Linked DNA regions of Macaca fascicularis. Each later gene encodes a partner of the first gene's protein in a complex. Links are inferred from orthologs where the notes say so. Each region holds a gene or a part of one and is shown in the gene's direction. Other genes may lie near its edges.

The links.
Region 2: ZC3H13 (region 1) and METTL14 share a complex: the UniProt entries of both Homo sapiens proteins name them as parts of the WMM complex. The link is inferred for Macaca fascicularis from reciprocal best matches to the Homo sapiens genes ZC3H13 and METTL14.
Region 3: the proteins of ZC3H13 (region 1) and VIRMA are in contact, whole or in part, in a cryo-EM structure (PDB 7VF2), measured with the Homo sapiens proteins. The link is inferred for Macaca fascicularis from reciprocal best matches to the Homo sapiens genes ZC3H13 and VIRMA. Residues at the interface, in NP_001317494.1 of Homo sapiens: Pro1492, Leu1493, Asp1494, Val1495, Ile1496, Asp1497, Val1498, Asp1499, Trp1500, Ser1501, Gly1502, His1507, Leu1518, Lys1520, Phe1521, Pro1523, Val1526, Met1527, Arg1529, Val1530, Gly1531, Ile1532, Ser1533, Lys1535, Leu1536, Ala1537, Gly1538, Leu1541, Lys1544, Val1545; in NP_056311.2 of Homo sapiens: Leu521, Ser529, Tyr531, Gln532, Leu535, Glu536, Ile538, Leu539, Leu540, Asp541, Val544, Val547, Thr548, Ser551, Leu554, Gln555, His558, Glu561, Val562, Ser564, Glu565, Lys567, Gly570, Asp571, Ala574, Glu575, Thr577, Ser578, Glu621, Glu625.

Annotation. Positions count from the first base shown.
Region 1 is NC_088391.1:25,167,914-25,171,824, reverse strand, and holds part of ZC3H13 (zinc finger CCCH domain-containing protein 13), read left to right. Parts: coding exon 1-445; intron 446-1,152; coding exon 1,153-1,677; intron 1,678-3,911. UniProt on the Homo sapiens protein: Associated component of the WMM complex, a complex that mediates N6-methyladenosine (m6A) methylation of RNAs, a modification that plays a role in the efficiency of mRNA splicing and RNA processing.
Region 2 is NC_088379.1:123,984,739-123,988,649, forward strand, and holds part of METTL14 (N(6)-adenosine-methyltransferase non-catalytic subunit METTL14), read left to right. Parts: intron 1-1,032; coding exon 1,033-1,120; intron 1,121-3,174; coding exon 3,175-3,255; intron 3,256-3,615; coding exon 3,616-3,703; intron 3,704-3,911. UniProt on the Homo sapiens protein: The METTL3-METTL14 heterodimer forms a N6-methyltransferase complex that methylates adenosine residues at the N(6) position of some mRNAs and regulates the circadian clock, differentiation of embryonic stem cells and cortical neurogenesis.
Region 3 is NC_088382.1:104,136,015-104,139,576, reverse strand, and holds the end of VIRMA (protein virilizer homolog), read left to right. Parts: intron 1-1,169; coding exon 1,170-1,313; intron 1,314-2,389; coding exon 2,390-2,544; 3' UTR 2,545-2,728; downstream 2,729-3,562. UniProt on the Homo sapiens protein: Associated component of the WMM complex, a complex that mediates N6-methyladenosine (m6A) methylation of RNAs, a modification that plays a role in the efficiency of mRNA splicing and RNA processing.

The DNA of each region.
Region 1 (3,911 bases):
ACTCTTGCTTCCACTACTGCTGCTGCCACCACCTCTTTCAGCACATCTTCCATCACCATTTCCACCTCTGCCACCCCCACCAGTACCACCAATAATACTTTTGCCAATGAAGACTCACACAGAAAATGCCACAGAACACGAATGGAAAAAGTAGAGACACCTCATGTGACTATAGAAGATGCACCACATCGCAAACCTGTGGATCAAAAGAGGAGCAGCAGCCTTGGGAGCAATCGAAGTAACCGTAGTCACACATCTGGTCGTCTTCGCTCCCCATCCAATGATTCTGCCCATCGAAGTGGAGATGACCAAAGTGGTCGAAAGAGAGTACTGCACAGTGGCTCAAGAGATAGAGAAAAAACAAAAAGCCTGGAAATCACAGGAGAGAGAAAATCTAGGATTGATCAGTTAAAGCGTGGAGAACCCAGTCGAAGTACTTCTTCAGGTAATAAAATTGAATTATGATCTAGTCACTGTTTCATAGGTTAGTATATTTTATACGTATTTTAATTCTAAAGTAATGCTAAATTGGTTACTTTACATGTTGCCTTAAATTTATGGAACTTTTTAAAGAAAAGCTTAGCTGCCCCATCGAAATGTTACCTGTTATCACATTAATACCAACATTATAATAGAAATACATATAATAGTGTTAATCAGTTTAGTATCAGAATTTTAGTAGTATGTCTTGGTGGAAGGGTTTATGTGTTCAAGTCCCTTATCAGTGCCTATGATTTTAACCTTCCTGCTATTCTTCATGCAGTCAAGGCTGCCTCTTTTGACCACAGAAAATAAGATAGGGGAGTAGGAAGAGATCAAATAATGGAGTGATTAGTTCTATTAATGCCTAATCATTTTATGTACTTCTTGGAAGATATTTTATGGTTATAGTGGAAATAGACAAGGAAACTTTTTTAAATTTATTAGAACTTTGAGAGAGGAATTTTTCTTAGAATGACTTATATGGATATTTATATAGAGAAATATATATGTAGAATATAGAAATATATAGAACATAAAGAGATAATATGGAATATAGAAAATTATATAGAATATGGAAAAAGGTAAATTATGTTTTAAAGGATCCTGAAATGAAGCATTTTGTTTCTATTGTGTGCTAATAACTCTTTGTACATGGTATATTTATTTTAGATCGCCAGGATTCAAGAAGCCATAGTTCAAGAAGAAGTTCTCCAGAGTCAGATCGACAGGTCCATTCAAGATCTGGGTCATTTGATAGCAGAGACAGGCTTCAAGAGCGAGATCGATATGAACACGATAGAGAGCGCGAGAGAGAGAGGAGAGATACAAGGCAGAGAGAATGGGACCGAGATGCTGATAAAGATTGGCCACGCAACAGGGATCGAGATAGATTGCGAGAACGAGAACGAGAGAGAGAAAGAGACAAAAGGAGAGACTTGGATAGGGAAAGAGAGAGACTAATTTCTGATTCTGTTGAAAGGGACAGGGACAGAGACAGAGACAGAACTTTTGAGAGTTCTCAAATAGAGTCTGTGAAACGCTGTGAAGCAAAACTGGAAGGTGAACATGAAAGGGATCTAGAAAGCACTTCGCGAGACTCTGTAGCCGTGGATAAAGAGAGAATGGATAAAGATCTGGGATCTGTGCAGGGATTTGAAGACATAAATAAATCCGAGAGAACTGAGAGTCTGGAAGGTGAGTGCTACCTCTTTTTCGGTGATACTGCCTTCTTTCTTTTCAGATTTCATGGGAAACAACTATTTTCTTCTGAAAGGGCATCCACTAATAGGCACATTGACTTCATTCTCCATTCTTTTATAGGGGAAGTAGATATCAGAAGGAAAAGGCCTATGAGATACAGACATATATATATATATATATATATATTTTTTAATGTGGTCCCCTCTACTACCATGAAGGCAGATTTGGTTCACATAAACCTAAATGAAATAAAAGATTGTTTAGATGCAGTGCGTATAGATGTTGAAGAATAACCATCACATCCTTTTCTTAGATGTTAAAAAAATAAGATTACAAAAATTGAAATGACTTCTTAGTTCAGAGAGGGATTCAGATAATTATTAGTGAATCCCTATTTTCTAGGGCAGTTTAGAACAAATATATAAAACAAAAACACGGCCGGGCGCCGTGGCTCAAGCCTGTAATCCCAGCACTTTGGGAGGCCGAGACGGGCGGATCACGAGGTCAGGAGATCGAGACCATCCTGGCTAACACGGTGAAACCCCGTCTCTACTAAAAAATACAAAAAAAAACTAGCCGGGCGAGGTGGCGGGCGCCTGTAGTCCCAGCTACTCGGGAGGCTGAGGCAGGAGAATGGCGTAAACCCGGGAGGCGGAGCTTGCAGTGAGCTGAGATCCGGCCACTGCACTCCAGCCTGGGCGACAGAGCGAGACTCCGCCTCAAAAAAAAAAAAAAAACAATAACACTACCTGAAACTGTATTTAATGTCGGATTGACTAGAATCCCACTGGTACTCCCCAGTCCTAGAATAGGAACGCTAAGTCCATGTCAACCTTTTGGCCCACTCAGAGCCAGCCCCAGCTGTGTGAAACCTCACTCTCCATGCTTCTACTCTTTACCCTTCAGCCCCCATTTACTAGACAAGCTGACTTGTGCCTTTCCATTCTCTGCCCTTCTTTGTACCACTCATACCATTGCCTGATAGACCTTTTTCTTTTATCTCATCTTTCTTACTCAAACTTCAAGTCCCAATTTATACATTATTTTCTCGATGAAGCCTTCTCTGCTCGAGGCACTTACTGTTTCAGATTCATCTCTTCATATTACATTTTCATCTCAATTTTGAGTATAAATAGCATCAAATCATGAAGCATGGTACAACCCTGGGATATAATTGAATATAATTGAATTAATCATTATCAGCTCTCTGTGATTAAAGTCAGTATCCCTCATCTCTAAAATATATAATTTGCTAGTTATGATCACAGACAATATAGCATAGAAATGTATAACTGAATCCCTTGCTATGTGACGTAAAGTTTTTACTCACTTAAAGTAGGAAAATGAGTTGGATCACCTTGAAAAATGAAAAATCCTATTATGTGCCTTTATGTTTAGATGTATGTTTATATGACGAAGTTACTAAAATTGGTTACCTTAGAAGTGACTTAGTGAGGATATGGGGAGATTACTATAGAATTTGATAACATGGAAAATCACTAGAATGACTAGAAATGTCTTATAACTTCTTATATTTTATTTGCTGCAAATTCATACCCATAAAGCATACGGTTACATTTTGAAACTTAGTATTGTAGATTCAGTGAAATGTATGGTTAGCTAGTGATTATAAACGTTAAGTGTATTCTGTAATTTTAGGATTAAGTTCACAACTAACTCACCAAGAGACAAAGTTTAGCATAGGTGGTTGAAAAAAGTTGGTAAAATAAAAAAAAAAAAACATACGCTAGTGGTACTCACAAAGTTATTTTTAATTGTATTAAAGCATTCTTCTAAAAATTGTGTTCGTCAGTGAATAAGATCATTGAGATAGGGAGGAGGAATTGAGATGTAGAGAGAGAATTAATGGCACTTCTTGTATTTTTACCTCACTGCTGTAAAGTTTATATAATGAGCTAAATAATATGAACTAAGATTTAAGCTTCAAGTAAATTTTTGAAATAAGTTTGCAAGTTTTTAAATTACTTTAGATAAATTGTGAAAATTTGAAAATGTAACTTCAAAATCTTTTGAAGTTAGATTTGTCTGAGTTTTAAAGTTTTAAATTATCAAAAATTAACACAACACACAGTCAACATTAGTATGTTAGTAGTAGCTTTTATTTGTCATAATTGTGATCTTATAACCTGTTGTGATAATTGCTGTCCAGATTGTATTCTTGCTGTTAAAATTGAATTTACCTAATTAAATTTTATTTATGTTTTCTT
Region 2 (3,911 bases), on another chromosome or scaffold:
ACCGGCAAGCGGAGGCTGTAGTGAGCTAAACCAAGATTGTGCCACTGCACTCCAGCCTGGGAGACAAGAGTGAGACTCCATCTCAAAAAGAAAAAAAAACTGTGAAAGAATTACTGTTTTAATAAACAGATACCCCTAGGTAGGTGTGCAGTGTATTGAGAAAAGCATAAAAATAATGATTTTAGACACAATGGTTTTTATTGTCAGTTCATTAATTATGAAATATTTATTTTCTGAGGATAGTAAGTTCCCATTTGTAAAGTACTTAGAAAATGGAATGTTAGACTAAAAATTAGCATATATACTATAAATAAATAAGTATATTTAAGTTTTTTTTTTTTTTTTTTTTTTTGGAGACGTAGTCTCTCTCTGTCACCAGGCTTGAGTGCAGTGATGCGATCTTGGCTTACTGCAACCTCTGCCTCCAGGGTTGAAGTGATTCTCTTGCCTCAGCCTCCCAAGTAGCTGGGACTACAGGTGCGCGCCACCACTTCCAGCTAATTTTTGTATTTTTAGTAAACATGGGATTTCATCATGTTGGCCAGGCTGGTCTCGATCTCTTGACTTTGTGATCCGCCTGTCTCGGCCTCCCAAAGTGCTGGGATTGCAGGCATGAGCCACCATGCCCAGCCTAGAAATTTGTATAAAAGGAAGTATACTTTACCCTAAAAGTGGTATTTATTTGGTAGTTCAGAAAGCATTTGAAAATTTTTTCGTTATTCTAGTTTTCAATTTGGACATATGTTTTGCTCAAAACAGATTAAAATAATACATACTATATAAGTTTCTTTTCAGTATATCACTTATAGCAGCTTATTTTCTCATTTGGTTGCTTTCTCATGAAAATGAAGCACAGAATTATCAATCAAGTTATTTGACTTTTTGGATGACTTATAAACTGGGTAAATAGATACTCTTTAATCAGGAAAACTTTGTCTTGTTCTTTTTTATAATCTGTTTATTATTATTATTAATAGATACTTTTATGCATCTTGTATATGTTTGTGAGTAATATTTCTGTTTATTTTTCAGGGCTTCCTATGATACCTCTGCTCCAAATACGAAACGTAAGTATCTGGATGAAGGAGAGACAGATGAAGACAAAATGGAAGAATATAAGGCAAGTAGAGAGTGAAATAAGTTTATGGTCAAAGAAAACATAAATTCAAATGATAGATTTATATTTAGGAAAACAAATTTGATAGAAAGCCTCATTTTAAGATGTGCTAAAATAATTATCAGTGGCGTATGTTATCACTGGTTACATTAAGACCATGGTATCAGTTTTCTTATCTTTTTCTTTTTCTTTTTTTTTTTTGAGATGGAGTCTTGCTCTGTCGCCAGGCCGGAGTGCAATGGCACAATCTTGGCTCACTGCAACCTCTGCCTCCTGGGTTCTAAGGGATTATTCTGCCTCAGCCTCCCAAGTACCTGGGACTACAGGTGTGCACCACCGTGCTCAGCTATTTTTTGTATTTTTAGTAGAGATGGGGTTTCACATGTTGACCGGGATGGTCTCGATCTCTTGACCTCATGATCCACCCGCCTTGGCCTCCCAAAGTGCTGGGATTACAGGTGTGAACCACTATGCCCAGCCAATTTTCTTTTCTTAATGCAAGAGTTGTGTGGATTAAATTAGATTATGTATATGAAGCACTTAGCATAATGTCTGGTAAGAACTAGGTAATAATATATATATATATATTTTTTTTTTTGAGATGGAGTCTCACTCTTGTCGCCCAGGCTGGAGTGCAGTGGCGTGATCTCAGCCCATTGCAACCTCCTCCTCCTGGTTTCAAGCTATTCTTCTGCCTCAGCCTCTCGAGTAACTGGGACTACAGGCACGCACCGCCACGCCTGGCTAATTTTTGTATTTTTAGTAGAGATGGGGTTTTACCATATTGACCAGGCTTGTCTCGAACTCCTGACCTCATGATCCACCTGCCTTGACTTCCCAAAGTGTTGGGATTGTAGGCGTGAGCCATCGTGCCTGACCAGCACTAGGCAATAATATTCTTAAAGACGACTGAGGATATAAGTGTATCATAAACTTTGGGCCCGGTGTTGTGCCTCACGCTTGTAATCTAAGCACTTTGGGAGGCCAAGACGTGCAGATCACATAAGGTTAGGAGTTCAAGACCCTCCTGGCTAATGTGATGAAACCCTGTCTCTACTAAAAATACAAAAAATCAGCTGGGCATGGTGGCACATGCCTGTAATCCCAGCTACTCAGGTGGCTGAGGCAGGAGAACTGCTTGAACCTGGGAGGCAGAGGTTGCAGTGAGCCGAGACCATGCCACTGCACTCCAGCCTGGGCAACAGAGTGACTCTGTCTCAAAAAAAAAGAAAAAAAAAACCACGAAACTTTGAGTAATTGATTGGATCAGATTTTGAGAAGCTGCAGTAGTCTTTTTTGAGGAGGAGTTATTCCATGTTGACAATATTGGATAGTACAATCAAGATATTTTTAGGATTTATGGCCTAGACTACACTGTAGAAATATTTCTGAAAGAGCCTCAAGGGAAACCCAACTTCTAACTTGTAGTTGCAATATTTAGTTGAAATAGTTGAAAGTATTATGGTCCAAAAAACTTTCTTCTGTTTTTTGCAAGTTAATTGTATATAATAGAGATAAGAATGTATAGTTTCAATAAAATCTCTAGAAAGTTCAGTGAAATAATACCTAATCTCGCGAATAATGTCTTATATGTTGCAGTTCTGATAATACATAACTTAAATGCTTGTGATTATTTTAGGTGGAACCATATACAGTTGCTGATATTCTAACCTTTTTGACCTATAAGCATAGCAGTTTCGTATAGTTTAATCTAATGGAAATAAAATTGCAACATTGGTGGTCATATCTTTCATGACTCAAACTAAACTCTAATATTTATAGTATTGTGTATGAGATAAATAGTTTTAGACAAATCAACAAAATAGTAGTTATAGTAATTATTATTTATGATAGGAAATTTTTTTATGAAAAGAATCAACTAGCTAGATCTAATGATGGGAAAAGCAAAGACTTCAATGTTTGACTTCAATGCTAATTTAAAACATTTATTAAATCTTAAGGAAATAAAGTATTTATGTTGAGTTTTAATCAAGATGTGATAATTAGAGAAATAGCCCCTATTTGTAAAACATTTACTTAATCTTATGTTTTTCAAGGATGAACTAGAAATGCAACAGGAAGAAGAAAATTTGCCATATGAAGAAGAGATTTACAAAGATTCTAGTACTTTTCTTAAGGTAAAATAAATAATTTTTGTAACTCATCACATTTAAGCTCTATACCTGAAAAGATTTTAAATACCTATTTGTCTTCAAGATATTTTTTGATTATTTAAGGATCATTGTTATGAAATAAAGATTATTTAAAATTGCTCATGAAATAGTCTTCTGATATTTGGCTAGTGTGAGATAAAGGTATATTAATATCAGTAGCTACTGAAAAGTAATAATTTTAGTTGTATTTTCAAATATTACTATTTTTTAAATCTATCAATTGACTGCATTTTGTATGACCTTGTAGTAGAAAACAAAGTAGAGATAATTCATCTGCCATTACAGTGCATGCTACAAATTTAATTTTGTTTTTTTTTAATTTAGGGAACACAGAGCTTAAATCCCCATAATGATTACTGCCAACATTTTGTAGACACTGGACATAGACCTCAGAATTTCATCAGGGATGTAGGTATGTTAGATTTGTTTGGAATACGCTATTGCTGACTCTCAATTACATGCATGTAATTTATCCAATTTGTGGATATTTCTAACAAAATTATTCTTCCCAGCTTGACATCTTTTTTTTGTTCTCAGTGCTCCTGATATACCTTCTTTTTCTTTTCTTTCTTTCTCTCTCTCTTTCTTTCTTTTCTTTTCTTTTCTTTCTTTTATTTCTT
Region 3 (3,562 bases), on another chromosome or scaffold:
CTCATCTCACTACCAACTCTGCCTCCCTGGTTCAAATGATTCTCCTGCTTCAGCCTCCCAAGTATCTGGGACTACAGGCATGCCCCACCGTGCCCAACTAATTTTTGTATTTTTAGTAGAGACGGGGTTTTGTCATGTTTGCCAGGCTAGTCTCAAACTCCTGACCTCAAGTGATCCACCCACCTTGGCTTCCCAAAGTGCTGAGATTACAGGTGTGAGCCACCGTGCTTGGCCTTATTTTCCTTTTTACATTGAGAATTATACATTTTCTGAGTAATACCCTTACATTATTTTCACAATTATACTTAACAGTTTTCTTAAGATTGTTCTGTGCAGCTCACCATTGATCTGCCTAATCTGCTTGCTTTCTTATGCTACATTTAGTTTGTTTGAAATTGTTACAGGATTTTTTTTTTTTTTTGAAACAGAGTTTCGCTCTTATTGCCCAGGCTGGAGTGCAGTGGCACAATCTCAGCTCACTGCAACCTCTGCTTCTTGGTTTCAAGCGATTCTCCTGCTTCAACTTCCTGAGTACGCATGTGCCAGCACACCCGGCTAATTATTAGTAGAGATGGAATTTCACCATGTTGGCCAGGCTGGTCTCGAACTCCTGATCTCAGGTGATCCACCAGCCTTGGCCTCCCAAAGTGCAGGGATTACAGGCATGAGCCACTGCACCTGGCCTTACAAGATTTTAGAAACTAGGGATACTTACAGAAATTATACTTTAGTAGTGGATTGATAACCATATTTTCATACCTGCTGAGTTAGGAGGGTGAGAGTGAAAGAGAATCTGTGTTTATATTAATAACAAACACTTAGATTAGGTGTGTCAGGAACTTTTATAAGCATTTTACATATTATAACCTCACGTCAACCCCATTTGGCAAGTTCTCTTAGTACCCCTAATTTGCGGAAGAGAAAATTGTCAGTCAGCTGACCAGGGCACATAAATACAAGTGGCAGAACCAGTATTTGATCCCTGGCAGTTTGGCTCTAGAGTCTCTGCTCTTAACCACTGTGATGCTGCCACTATATATATAGTACAGTCAATTTACAAAATTTCAGTTTCTTTTCCATTCTGTTGAAGATTAAGAAAAATCTGTCATTTAAAAGAATCCAACTGAAGTTGTGAAAAAAGTGATTTTGATTGTGCTGTTTGTGTTTAGGAAACTACAGTCGTCGGGAAGGAACAAGAGGCTCCAGTTGGAGTGCTCAGAATACTCCTCGAGGAAATTACAATGAAAGTCGTGGAGGCCAGAGCAATTTTAACAGAGGCCCTCTTCCACCATTACGACCCCTTAGTTCTACAGGTATACATCCTTGCTACTTGATATTGCTGAGAGAAGGGAAGTGAATTCTTCCTTTTTAAATTGTTGATATATACAGAGGGGGCTAGGGGTGCTAAACTTCCCCATCCCCTTGCCCCACGCAGTCAAAAATCTAAGTATAATTTTTGACTTCCCCAGAACCTAACTACTGATAGTATGCTGTTGACTGGCAGCCTTACAGATAACATAAACAGTTGATTGACACATATTTTATATATTATATATTATATAATGTATTACAATTAAATAAGCTGGAGAAAAGAAAATGTTATTAAGAAAATCTTAAGGAAAAGAAAATACATTTACTATTAAGTGGAAGTGGATCTTCGTAAAGGTCATCACATTCCATAGGCTGAGGAAAAGGAGGAGAGGTCTTACTTTCTTAGGAGTAGCAGAGGTGAAAGAAAATCCACATATAACTGGACCCAGGCAGTTGAAACCCATGTTGTTCAAGGGTCAGCTGTACTCTCATTCTGGGAGAGAATATTTTAGAGTATAGACTTAAAGTTCTAACATTTATATCCTTGAATAAATGCCCAATATACATCTTCTATAAAAATAATCAAATTTTTAGTTTCTGAACTGTTTGTATAATCTGAACAGTTTCATGGTGCTGTGCTCTTATTTTTATGTTTCAGTAATGAAAGTCAATGCTTAAGGTACCTTTCTGACCACAAAGTATTTTAATAACAGAGATACCTTTATATAGCATATTTTTTTTTGCTTATTGTCTTAGGCGTGTAAGCACATAACTTTTTTTTTTTTAAAACATCACCATATCTAGTCCAGAATGTTGCTCATCAGAAGTAGCTTTTGGTTTCAAATGCACATTTAAAAAAAATAACAAGTTTTATTTGGGATATAATTCTTATATACCATATAGTTTACCTGTTTAAAATGTATAATTCAACAATCTTCACCCCGTTCACAGTGCTTGCACATGAGTTTTAAAAGAGAAAAGAGTAATTCTTGGTTTGAGCTCAGTGACGTAGATTAGTATTTACATGCTTGGAAAAGAAAGGACGTTGGAACTAAAAACTGTATTTTTTCTTTTACAGGTTACCGCCCAAGTCCTCGGGACCGTGCTTCTAGAGGTCGTGGGGGACTTGGACCTTCCTGGGCTAGTGCAAATAGCGGCAGTGGAGGCTCAAGAGGAAAGTTTGTTAGTGGAGGAAGTGGTAGAGGTCGTCATGTACGCTCCTTTACACGATAAGAATCCTTTTGGGAACATCTTAACTGTATATGAACATTTTGTGAGGACAATAAAAATAAGACATTGAAGGACCAATTTAGACTTAGCAGTTATCTGGAGACATCTGAGAGAATATTTTTATCTGAAGAAAGCAGATTTTGTTTGATACCTAACAAGATTTCAATAAAAATCCAAACTTTGTATGTACGTTTCTATATATTTTCCCTTTTTTTGTATGACTATTTATTTAGAAAATTTCTAGGTAGAAAAACTGAATGACGTTTTGTATTTTTCTTGCCTATAGCACAGATGTTCTCAAACTTTCTCAGCTCATGACACTATTTAGTGCCTCAGTACTTTTTTCACAGCATACCTGGTCCAAAAGAATTATCTAATACTTGTGTTTATTAAGCAGTTAGGTACAATGGCTTAATAAGAATGTACATCATCACCACTAGTAACTGTGGACACTGCATGTCTCAAACCTTGGAATCAGTGTCATTTTCTTTTCCTCTCTGCTTCTTGCACAGTACTTTTTATCAAACTGCTGAAAACCGAGTTTTGTAAAGATATGTTGTTATAGAAAGGAATATAATGCTATTTAATGTTGAAAATGTAAACTACCTCGAAGTAGTAGTTTATGTTATGTCCAACAGGTGTTGCTATGTTTTTCTCAAAAATTTAAAAATATTGTGTGGCACCCATGTTAATTTGCTAAGGTGCCCTGGTACACAGTTTGGGAACCATGGCTGTACCAAAAGAAACAAAATACTCCTCTCCTTTGTATTAGAAATCTGAACTTTGCATTTCAGCTTTGGACCTACTGACACTATTTTATTATACAAATTGTTTAAAGCTTAAAATAAGGAATGTCCTAATACTCTTATTTTGGGAATCAGAAACATCTAATAAAAGCTGAACTTTATATATATATAGAAATAAAGCTTACAACTTTGAGAAAGTAGCCATATTTTCCCCAAGATAATGTCTTAACACACTGAGTCTATGTAAGTGGCATAAAATACAGAGTTCTCTTAAT